Linked DNA regions of Mus musculus. The protein of the gene in region 3 purifies or fractionates together with the protein of the main gene of each other region. This does not show direct contact. Links are inferred from orthologs where the notes say so. Each region holds a gene or a part of one and is shown on either strand. Other genes may lie near its edges. The genes, in order: Ddx24, Zmynd8 and Tspyl1.

Region 1 (3,648 bases), on a different chromosome or scaffold from region 3:
TTGAAATCTGCTCTCCTCCCCCTGTGTCACACGCTGCCTCCTGTGGTATGACGACCACAAATTCCTTGGGAGATTGTGCAGACTGACTCTCCAGTTAGCTCACCAATGCTGTGAGTACATGCAGAGGTGGACACAGCCCAAGTCCCCGCCCATGCCTGACCTCAGCAAGGAAAGGTAGAGGCTCACATCTCTACTTGAGCCCCAGACCTGAGCTACAAGGAGGAACACACTGTTGGCAAACTCCTGGCTCCTACACTGAGCAGCAGTCTGCCTGGGAACTTGCTCAGTGGGTACTGAGAAGTCAACACCTCAGTTAAACTGCACTCCTGGTATGGAAGAAGGGGCACCAGCTATAACTGCTGTCATAGGCCCCAGATGCAGTTTTCAGCTTTACTATGCAGGGCCATGCAGCCCCTCACTCCTGGTCTCTTTCTGGGCTTCTGGCCCACAGACAGAAGAAGGTTTAGGCAATGCCTGGTGGTAGAGCTGTTCTGATGTACAAATTCCTTCTCTCTGTGAACCTTTTTTTGTTTTGTTTTGGTTTTGGTTTTTTTGAGATAAGGTTGTCTATGTAGATCTGGCTGTCCTGAAACTAGCTCTGTAGACAAGGCTGGCCTTGAACTCACAGAAATCTACCTGTCCCTCCTGGGATTAAAGGCAAGTCTACCACTGCCTGGCTCTGTGCACTCCTCTATCTCTTTATCCCTCATGTAAAAGGACAATCGCTCCCACTCAACTCATGCCCAGAACCTGGAGAAGTTATAAATGAGACATGAAGGTGCTGTGCTGTTCAACATTAACTACCATGATAAATGACGACTTAGCAGTGCCATATACTTTTAGTTTTCAAGCATAAGTGGATCGAGTTTAGTCTCCTTTACTCAACCTTGTTGGGAGGTACGGAGTTTATTACCTGTCTTATACATGAACGAAAAGGCACAGCAGGCGGCTAATCATACAGTAAAGGACAGGCTGCATTAACAAGGATACCCTGCTTGTGATCTGTTCCTAGTCATGGAGTCCAAGGGCTGTCCATGAGGCTGTCAGACAGACAAGAAAGGCCCAAGGTATCTGGCCCATACAGAAGCAGCAGCCATAGGACAAGAAAAGGGAACCTTGCTGCTCCTGCTGGGATCACAGAAATAAGGATGGTCTCAACCAGGTAAAAGCTAAAAGAAAGCAATCGCCCTGCCCAGGCGCACCTTTGTACATCTCTTCTTCTAGCTCAATCTCTAGGGCTGCTGCCGCCTGCTCAATCCATGAGTTGTGCAGACAAGCCTGGAAGTTCCGGTATTCAGCTTTTTCAATCTGTCGGGCTAGACGGATCCGCTCCTAAGGGGGCAGTAACACAAAATATTCATCTGATCAAGAGTCTGGGCCTCTCAGCAAACTTTACTGAAGCAGTTCTTAAGCTGTAATGTGATCAGTGACGAGTGAGAAACAATGCAGATTCTACTGAAACCCTTGCCCAGGTTCCTGCTAACAGCCCAGGTGACCATCACAGCCACAGAAGCCTGACCGAATCTCCTTACAGCTCTGTCTCAGGTGCTAACTTCTATGTGGCCCAGAGTGATCTTGTCTCCTCTTTCTCGTGGGTCTTGAGGTCACTCTGCAGTGACACAATGCCCTGCTCATCCTGACATGGAGAGAGCATGTGCAATGGGAATAAGCACGAAAATGGAGTTGCTCCCAGCAGCCTTAACAGGAATTCTCTATAATCCCACCTCTACCAGCCCCATCTAAATCCTTACACAATCAACGCTCTTGCCCAAGTGGTGACACACCCTTAAACTGCCCCTTGTCTTCACACCCCCAATGCCCGTAGTAACCATCTTCTCTTCACCCTTCTTTATCTCTGTAGTAGGACGAAGGCTCTGCTCCCATCGCAACCACACACCTCTCAGGCCCAGTGCTCCCTGGACACCTCAGCGTGCCGTGGGCTTACCCTATACATACACTGGTGAGCCTCGGGAAAACTACCCCATATTAGTCCCTGATACACTGGGGCCCGGGGTACACAGGAATCACAGTGAATGCTCCTGAGTTAATACAAACGTAGACAGCAAGTTTTACTGTCCCTGCTTTAGGGCACACTAAGCCTTCAGCATTTACCTTGCTGTTCACAGCTCTCTGACAATGTCTATGGCTGAGCTCACTGAGCTGTCTACTGAAGCAGAAGCAGGTGCAGATTTCAGGACCAGATATCAGAGTGATTAAGGGACAAAACACACTTCTCTGGTCACTCCCCCTTTCTGCTTTTCTCCCAGGCTTGGCACTTCCAGCCTCTTAACAAAAGCCACTGCCTAGCCATCGGCAGAACCATTTCTCAATCCCCTAGGATAACTTCTGGTCTCAGAGTAAGGTGCTCTGTGAGGAGGCAGTGCAGTGGAGTTTAACTTTTACCTTGACCACATCCATGTACTTGGACTGCACTGGAAACAGTGGGATGTCCTCATCTTTCTGGAGAGTTTTGTAGATCTTCTTGAAGTTGATCACATCCTCAGGCCCAATCAGCATCAAGCTGAGGCCTTCACTGGCAGCGCGGGCAGTCCGACCACTTCGGTGGATGTAAATCTCTGAGGTGCGAGGCACCTGCCAAAGCAGCAGTGAGGATCAGCACATGGACAAGGTCCACACTGCTCTTGCCCTCGGGGCACACCCCGAAACTGGCTCTGTTTTCTGCAGGACACCAATCTCCCTACTCTGTGGAAAAACTTAGCCCTTCATTCTGACACATAGACTGCCCCTAAGTTAACAGTCTAGCTACTGTGCAGGCTCTGCCCCACTACAGCCTCCACAACTGTTCAGCTCTTCACACTCAATCTGTTTATCTGCTTTTCTTTCATCTTCTCCACTCTCACTCCTCTTGTGACCAATACTGTCATTCTGAATCTCCACATATTCTTCAGCTCTGCATGACCGATGACAGTACATTTATAACCCACAGTTACCGAGTGACTGCTCTAGGACAACCAACTGCAAAACACTTCGTATGTGGTGGTCTGAATGAGATGTTCCCTGTTAAGTTTCAGGCATTTGAATACTTGGTCCCAACTGGCAACTGGCTTTTTTGTTTTTGTTTTGTTTTTTGAGGCCTAGGAGGTATCTCCTTGCTGAAGAGTCACTGGTGGCAGGCTCTGAGCTCACAAAAGCTGGGTCCCATTTCCAGCGTACCCTCTTTGCTTCATATTTGCAACAGATCTCAGCTGCTGCTCCACCTACTTCCCCCCTGTTAGCTCTCCTCTCTTGTCAGGAGCTCACAACCTCTGGAACCATGAGACAAATAAACTGTTTCTTCTCTAAGCTGCCTTGGTCATACTGTTTTACCACAGCAACAGAAATGTAAAGAAGACAATATTATCCTAGACATATAAAATACTTTATCACTGTCAACATATTACAGGAAACGAACGCTCACTCAGATCCACCACTTCCTCTAGGTAATCTAACTCAATGTGGGAGCCAGGATTCAGAGCAGGTTAACCCAGGACAACCTATATAGTAGGCATGCTGTCCACAAACAGCATGGCACGGGTACTGGTGCTCCTCTTCCCTGACGCCTGTAGCATCCGCCACGAATGAAGTGCAGCAGGCTCAGTGTCGCTATGAACCGTTTACCATGATTCCTCCCATGACTCTCTAGCCTCC
Region 2 (3,648 bases), on a different chromosome or scaffold from region 3:
CTTTTATGTCCCCGCGTGTCCTTCTATGTTCACCTTCCTCCCTGTGATGTGGCGCCGTGTCCAACGACCCTGTTTGTGGTTTACACAAGTTTTTAAAGGCCCCAGTCACCTGTAAGCACATCCAGTCGAGTGGCCTACATGAAGGAACAGCTAGCCATGGGTGTCGGCCCCTGGGGTTGTGTGCAATTTCAGCTGTGATGGATTCTAAGGCTACCTGTGCTCTCTTCAGTTAGCAAGAGGTGTGACAAGCAGCCTGCCTATACCCCAACCACTACAGACCACCAGCCGCACCCCAACTACCCAGCCCAGAAGTGTAAGTATGACCCTGTCTCAGGGGAGCTGCTGGGAGAGTCACTCCTGGCATGCAGAAGCCATGTTTTGTGTGTCTGTGTGTGTCCGTGTGGGCGTGTCCTGTGCTTTGAGTGTTGGTCTCCCTCTGCTTTGCCGTCGCCGTCGTCTTCTTGTTTGTTCCCCATTGCTGCCTTTGCAAACTGCTGTAGGTTGGGCCATTCAGAGCCTTTGTTTTGTCTTAGCTGGGTACTGCATCTCCCCTGCCGTGGTCTGCCATGTTAGCCAGCATCCTGGGCCCAGTCCTTTAGAGGCTCAGGCTTTGGAATCTCAAGTTCTGTTTCTTTCATATCCCCACTGATCTTGGCTCTTCCCCACAGCTGGAAGGACTTGGTGATGTGCGACTATATCCATGCCACCCCTCAAAGACCTTCTAGAAGATTATATAGCCTAACTGCCAGGAATGTGAGCTCTCAAAGGACCATTTGGAACTCTGATTGTCCTTTTAGAACACTGCCCCCTTCTGGCTGAATATAAAAGCAGCCTGAACTTTTAAATTTTTATTTTATTTTATTTTATTTTATTTTATTTTATTTTATTTTATTTTATTTTTTTGCATGTGCTTTGTGAACAGGCAGTAAGAAGTAAGAAAGACAGTCCCCCAAGGGCAGCAGTGGTCCCTTCTCACTAGCCCTGCTCCATCTTAAGCTTGATGCTCCACAGCTCAGGAAAGTTAGAGAATCTGGGAGCAGCAAAGGGGTCTTAGTGGCCAGCCATTAAGTGTAGGGCCTTAGTGTAGGGCCATTGTCCTCTTCTGTGATAGCGTCTGTGGCTCTTCTGTTAGCTTCCTCTTTGCTTCCTCAGCCACTACCTAACTTGCTGCCCGTGTGACCTCAAAGCCATCCCAGGTGTCCGTTGGGGTCTGTATCCGTCACTGACCCCTAACATGGTCCTTACTGGGAGTCCACGGAGTCAGTGTCCAGGTGGGCTTAGCCATCTCATCTGGTCCTCATTTCTTCTCTTACAATATCTTCCTGGTTTGGATATGAGTCTTATAAATGAATCAGGAGTTCTGTGAGGTCACCACAGATGTCAGATTCTGCGGGTCTTTCTCTAAGAGCCGAGGTCAGAGGCAAGGTGCATGGGCCCCCCGTGGTATAGTCCAGACTCTTAACAGGGCAGGGGTTCCCCGTCGACTGGACACCATCACTCGCTAACCTCACTCTCTGCTAGTGTGACACCTTTTGACCTTTCAGTTAGCTATAGCCCAAAGCCAGCTGCCCTCACTCTGTGTTCTACAGCCACAGCCCTGGGATCTCAGGGGCAGCTGTGGGCGTGGTCCGGTTGGAGTGGGCGTGGTCTGGCTGGAGGGAGGGAAGGTAACTTCCAGCTGGGAGATGAGTTGAGGAAGGTGGGGAGGGGAGTTGAACACACTGCCTTTCCTTCACAGACCATTCCCGGAGCAGCAAGGCAGGTTTGTGGAGCAGCAGCGAGGAGAAGCGAGCGTCATCCCGCTCTGAGCACAGTGGAGGGACCAGCACGAAGAACCTCATGCCCAAAGAGTCCCGGGAGTCTCGGCTAGATGCCTTCTGGGACTAGGGGTGCATTGTGAGCCAGAACACCTCCCTATAGGCGGGAGAAACAGCCCAAACCACAGGAAGCAACAGAAACTGGAGAACCGCCACCTTTAGAATTTCCAACACTCAGGCTCTGCCCGTCGGCTTGGCTGCAGGACAGAGACTTGACTCCATCCCAGCTCTGGTCTTGGCTGGGATGGCACTACCCTGTGAGCCAAACACTTTAGGTGTAAGTAGGTACACTTGTGACGTCACTGACCTAGCGTACCTTTCCTTTTCATATCTACACTGACCTTAACTTATAAAAAAAACAGAAAAGAAAAGCAAGTTTTATATATATACATATATATATAAAGATCTACAATTAAAAGAATGTTTTGATAATCCAGGGGCTGGTTAGTGAGCCCGCTGGCCTCACTGGGGTGTCAGGGCTGGGCCCAGGGATTGCTATTTTCACGTAGGCCCTTGTCCTTGGATACCCAGGGGAGGGAGCCACTGTCGCCGCAGCACACCAGGATTGGGGCTCTCAGGCTGTGCTGCCCTAGACCCGCCACACCAAGCCATCCGCCCCTCACAGACCCTACAAGACGATGTTAGGAAACACATGCTTGCTGGCCTTGAAGGACACAGAGAGAAGTATGTGTGTGTGGTGTGTTTCCAGCTCTGGCTCCCGAAGGGGCAAAGCAGCCTCCTGTTTACAGAAGGTCCACGCGAGCTATCCCCGTGGCGTTACGAATGCAGCCAGCGCCCGGCGTTTGTGCAGGGGTGTCGGGAACGAACGCAGCCAGCGGGCATCTGTGCGTGCGAGGAGACCCCTTCTCTCGGCCAAGTTTTTTCCCATAACACCCACATGGATTTGTGAAGACGTGCTTCTCAGAAGCAAGGACTCAAAAAGCAAAGGTGCACGGCGAGGCCACGAAGCCCACGCCAGCCCGGGGATGGAGCATGTATGTATTATTTATCTGCTGGAGTTCTACGTTTTTATGTAAGCATGAAACACAGGCAGTGTGAGAGAAAGCCAGGACCCGACATGCTGTCCGTTAACGCTACGTCTGCTGTAGTTCCATTTTGTATGTTGTGTAAAGCGAGCATCGATCGAAGCAAAAGGTGATGTGTGTATATCAGAAAAAAGAAATTAACTGTATATCATTCCAGTACATTCCGTTGTACATTTTAGTCTCCGTTTACTTTCTCTTCATTGTTGATAAGAGAATGCCAAGCTGCGCGTTGTTCAGGCAGTTTACCCCTACTAGAGAAGAAAGGAAGAAACGCTAGAAGAAAACAGGAGAGAGAGAAAATTTGTGAATTGCGGTCGTCAAAACAAAACAAAACAAACAAAAAAAAACAATCTAGCCTAGCTGGCCTTATTTGGGAAGCGTAACTGCTTTTAGCATATGGGAGTATTTTTTCACATTTTCTTTGTATAAAATTTGTATTAAACTTAAATATCTTTTTTGATGATGGCGTTTCTTCATGGCTGAACAGCGTCCTCTCGCGGTTATGAGCTTTTGGGTTCTCCCCCCTTTGACATCCCAAGTTTTTCAGGTTCTTAACCCTTTTTAAAAAAAAACTAAACCGTTTTGGCAAAAGGGTTTGGTCATGCCAATCTCCCGTGGGTCAGGGTGTGGCTGTGTCAGGTTTGAATGGCCACAAGAGACAGGTCTCCTGAGGTCCCGGGCACCCTCCCGGGACGTGGGCTGGACTGGGACTTTCTTACCTCCCATGGTAGCTGCAGTCTTCTGAGGCCAGGCTTCATGAGCGCTTCACCTGTGCTAATGCCACC
Region 3 (3,695 bases):
CTGCAATCTCAGTAAGCAGTTGTAACTGTCAACCTTCTACAGCAACAAAACAATGACAGTAACAACTACTCTTCAAGCAGGAGAAACAACTACTCTTGGTACCTCTGGGATGTCAATTGTGTACGTTTAAGGAATTGAATAATTCAACAATCTTGTCAATTATACAAACCCATTAAGGCAAGTTTACGGCCAGGTTGGGGATTAAAAAAAAAAAAAAGCCATCTAACAGGATGCCATGCTTTTATTTACCATCATGCATAAAAATGGCAACAAATATACAGTGCTGACAAAGTACTTTTATAACTATATCAAGACAATCAAGTCACATATTTACTTTTCCATGAAAACAATAATTTGACACATTTGATTAAGACCAATTATCCAAGCCGTTTCTAAGAATTTGGAGTAATATCGAAAACTGTTACGAATATTCAGTCTCAGTATTATAAAGACTACTGTTAGCCAGGCAGTGGTGGCGCACGCCTTTGATCCCAGCACTTGGGAGGCAAAGGCAGGCGGATTTCTGAGTTCAAGACCAGCCTGGTCTACAGAGTGAGTTGTCTTACAATATTCCAAATGGTTTCAAATAAATGCAAACAAAAGTGTTTAAATTTTTTCAGTAAGTTGAAACAAGTAGCATTTTACTAAATATTGGTAAAAGATGGGCAAAATATTATACTTTCACTTATATCAGATCACATATAAAGAGAGGAAAATAACTCAAACTTGCACTGCTTCTTTAAAGAAGCACTATCTAGGCAACATTCAACACTCAGAGAAAATATTTTTTCCTGAGAAATTAGTTCTCTTCCCATCACCACTGACTGACCAAGATGTGTAAGCTGTGTCCTGTCTTCATTCTCAGCCCAATTTTTATCTGACTTATTTTGATTCTAAGCCTTTTCAGCTCACTTTTTCTGCTTAGAGTACCCATCAAAACTTCTTTAGTTCTTCCATATATTAGGAAGGGCTCAGCTGTTTCCATCTAGCTGTCTCCCTGGAAGCTTTTTAGAGCTTGCTAACCAGGCTGGGGAGTGGGTAAGAGAGGAGACAAGGCAGAGTTGTTTCCTCTTTTACAGAGTATCTTCTCAGGAAATGCTAAGTATAAATGACTCCTGGCCTTACAGATGTTTCTGAACTACTTTTCTTTAAAATAGCAGGAGAAAGGTGGGAGAGTGAGGGTGAGGAGCACTGGCAAACACAATGGAGTGTGATATAACCTAGAAAGTGGTGCCAAAAAAAAAAAAAAAAAAAATCACACAGACAGTGGCCCACTCCTTCAATGTTTAGGCTCAGCAACTGTCCAAAAACTCTGTGTCCACGTTGCCACATGATGAACAGATAAATAGAAGGGCCCCCAGTTAAAGCAAGACATCTAGGTGGCAGTAAACAGGTAAGACTGAAAACAATAGGGTCCAAACAGTGTAAAGGCAGTGTAACATACAGTTTCATTGTTGAGCTTAGAAAGGGTATAAGCCAGGGCCGTGAACCAGCAGATACTAATTCAGAACAGCATGAAGGCCATGGGAAAGCAGAAGCATGTCCAGTCTTAATCTCGAGGTGGAGACTATCCAGATAGAAGATGCAGAAAAGTCAGGAGGAAAGAAATCAAAACACTGCATACCCGTTGCATTTGCTCAAGCACAGGTGAGAAGGGACCAGTTCCGGCCGCATTTTCAAATGCAAAGATTAACCTGACTGGAAGCCAAAAGGCCTGGGAATCTCCACTGGCTCCCTTATTGGGCGACGTCGGGGTCTACGGATTCCTTCACGACACAGGTAGTATTGCAGTGGGTTTGGCCACAGATCCTCTTTGATAATCTCAGCGATTCTGTCAGATTCTGGAAGGCTGTGGTCCGAGAACCAGGTGAAGAAGCTGCAAATGAGATCTTGGTTTCTGCGAATGAAGGACTGGGGCTCATGCCCTCTCCGCCAAATGATTGGAGTGGAAAGAGACACCACTCGACCAGATGATCTCACTTCATATTCCTTGACAATCAGCTTGTTTCTGAAGTAGGGGTTTCTTCGAAAAAAGAACTTGAATTTGCAGCCAGTCTTAGGGTGTCTCAGTTCCTTCACCTCCAGACTGGTTACGTACCTTAACATCTCTGCATCCCGACCCCTAATCATGGCGGACAACTGAGGGTGGTTCCGGAAGGCAGTCATCCAGAAGCCTGGGATATTCTGAATGATGTAGTTCCTCCGTTCCAGGTAGTGTCGTCGCATTCGCCCAAACTTCTGCTCCAGATGTTGGAAGGCCCTGTCGGCCTGAGCATTCACAGTGTCCAGTTCCAGCTGGATGGCCTCCAGCGGGTTCCTGCGAAGATCTATGCCCAGGTGCCAGGGCCCTGCCTCCTCCGGCGCCTCCCTCACTCCTCCACTCGCCTCCAGCATCTCCATTTCTTCGCCCGCGGGCTTCTGCTCCACCTCCATCACCTCCTCGCTCCCTGGCGTGGCCACTTCTGACTTTTCCGCTGCAGCCGCGACGGTGCCCGGTTCCGTCTTCACGTCACGGGCCTGGGACTCCGCTCCCCGAGTTTCTTGGGCCTTCTCCACATATTTCGGTGTCACGAACACCGCTGCCGCGGGGCCCCGAACGGAAGGAGGTGACTCTCCCTGCCTAGCTGCGGCCACCCGAATCTGGGGGACAAGGCCCTCGACATCTCGGGGCGCGGGGCTCCCCACGATCCCTGCGCGGCCCTCACCTGTCACCGCCTTCTCCTCGCCGAGCAGCGGTCGCCGGTCTGGGGTCCCCGAGACAGTGTCAGCATCGCAGTGGCCGCGGCTGTCGGGGACAGGGGTCCCCTCGTCCCGCTCCGGGCTGCTCATGTCGGGTCTAGTCGCGCAGACCTCCGCCTACAAACAACAACCCTCACGGTCCCCCGCAACCCCAGCTCCGCCCCTCGCTCTCTCCAGCGCAGTGACGCCAGAGCCACAGCCCGCAAGTCTCGCGAGAACCTGCAGCGCACCTGATTGGTTCTTCAGCTCGTGACTTCCGTATTTGTTTGGCTTCTGTAAATGTAGCGGATAGCGGTTGTCACGTTTGTTTCCGTAAAGGGATGTCAATCATCCTAGGAGACTGAAGACAGTGGCGGGGCTTCTGGACCTGGCTTCTGGACCCTTCGCCCGCATCCGGGCTGCAGCCGTGTGTGTGTCTGTGTCTGCAAACAAGTTCATCCCCTTTCCACTTATGTGGAACGGTAAAAACACCTCCTGGTATTAGACAAAGCTAGGAGCCAAATGTTTGTATTAACCAAGGTGAATGCCACGGTTCCCCACCACCACCACCACCACCACCACCACCACCACCACCACCACAGAACTGAAAAAAATAATGAAGTCTAGCTTGGTGTGATGGCCCTTGTCTGTCGCCTCAGTGCTCTGGTGCTGAGGAGGATCGTTGACTTGGAGGCTAACCTGGGCTGCATACACGTTGGCTCAAAATAATAATAAAAACTCAGTTCTATTCTAAGCTCTGACGTTACTGGGGAACAAAGATCTGTGGGTTTGCTTTGGGAATTATTCTTTTTGGAAAAGATTTTGTGGTCATCATTAATGATTGTTTTTACTGGTGTGTCTTGCACCGTGGCATCGAATAGTTTGCATAACAATCCTCTGATGTATTAAGATATCCATTTTATTGAGACAAGGAGAGACTGGGTCTCTTACCAGAATAACATAGAAAATGACAGAGC

The links.
Region 1: the proteins of Tspyl1 (region 3) and Ddx24 purify together in Homo sapiens (affinity purification with mass spectrometry; 3 studies listed by BioGRID and IntAct, counting the BioPlex papers as one, with this or other methods). This does not show direct contact. The link is inferred for Mus musculus from reciprocal best matches to the Homo sapiens genes TSPYL1 and DDX24.
Region 2: the proteins of Tspyl1 (region 3) and Zmynd8 purify together in Homo sapiens (affinity purification with mass spectrometry; 4 studies listed by BioGRID and IntAct, counting the BioPlex papers as one, with this or other methods). This does not show direct contact. The link is inferred for Mus musculus from reciprocal best matches to the Homo sapiens genes TSPYL1 and ZMYND8.

What each region holds. Positions count from the first base shown.
Region 1 is NC_000078.6:103,408,726-103,412,373, forward strand, and holds part of Ddx24 (ATP-dependent RNA helicase DDX24), read right to left. Parts: intron 2,593-3,648; coding exon 2,404-2,592; intron 1,333-2,403; coding exon 1,203-1,332; intron 1-1,202. UniProt on the Homo sapiens protein: ATP-dependent RNA helicase that plays a role in various aspects of RNA metabolism including pre-mRNA splicing and is thereby involved in different biological processes such as cell cycle regulation or innate immunity.
Region 2 is NC_000068.7:165,783,829-165,787,476, reverse strand, and holds the end of Zmynd8 (protein kinase C-binding protein 1), read left to right. Parts: intron 1-229; coding exon 230-313; intron 314-1,738; coding exon 1,739-1,887; 3' UTR 1,888-3,325; downstream 3,326-3,648. UniProt on the Homo sapiens protein: Chromatin reader that recognizes dual histone modifications such as histone H3.1 dimethylated at 'Lys-36' and histone H4 acetylated at 'Lys-16' (H3.1K36me2-H4K16ac) and histone H3 methylated at 'Lys-4' and histone H4 acetylated at 'Lys-14' (H3K4me1-H3K14ac).
Region 3 is NC_000076.6:34,281,415-34,285,109, reverse strand, and holds Tspyl1 (testis-specific Y-encoded-like protein 1), read right to left. Parts: upstream 2,921-3,695; 5' UTR 2,830-2,920; coding exon 1,690-2,829; 3' UTR 225-1,689; downstream 1-224.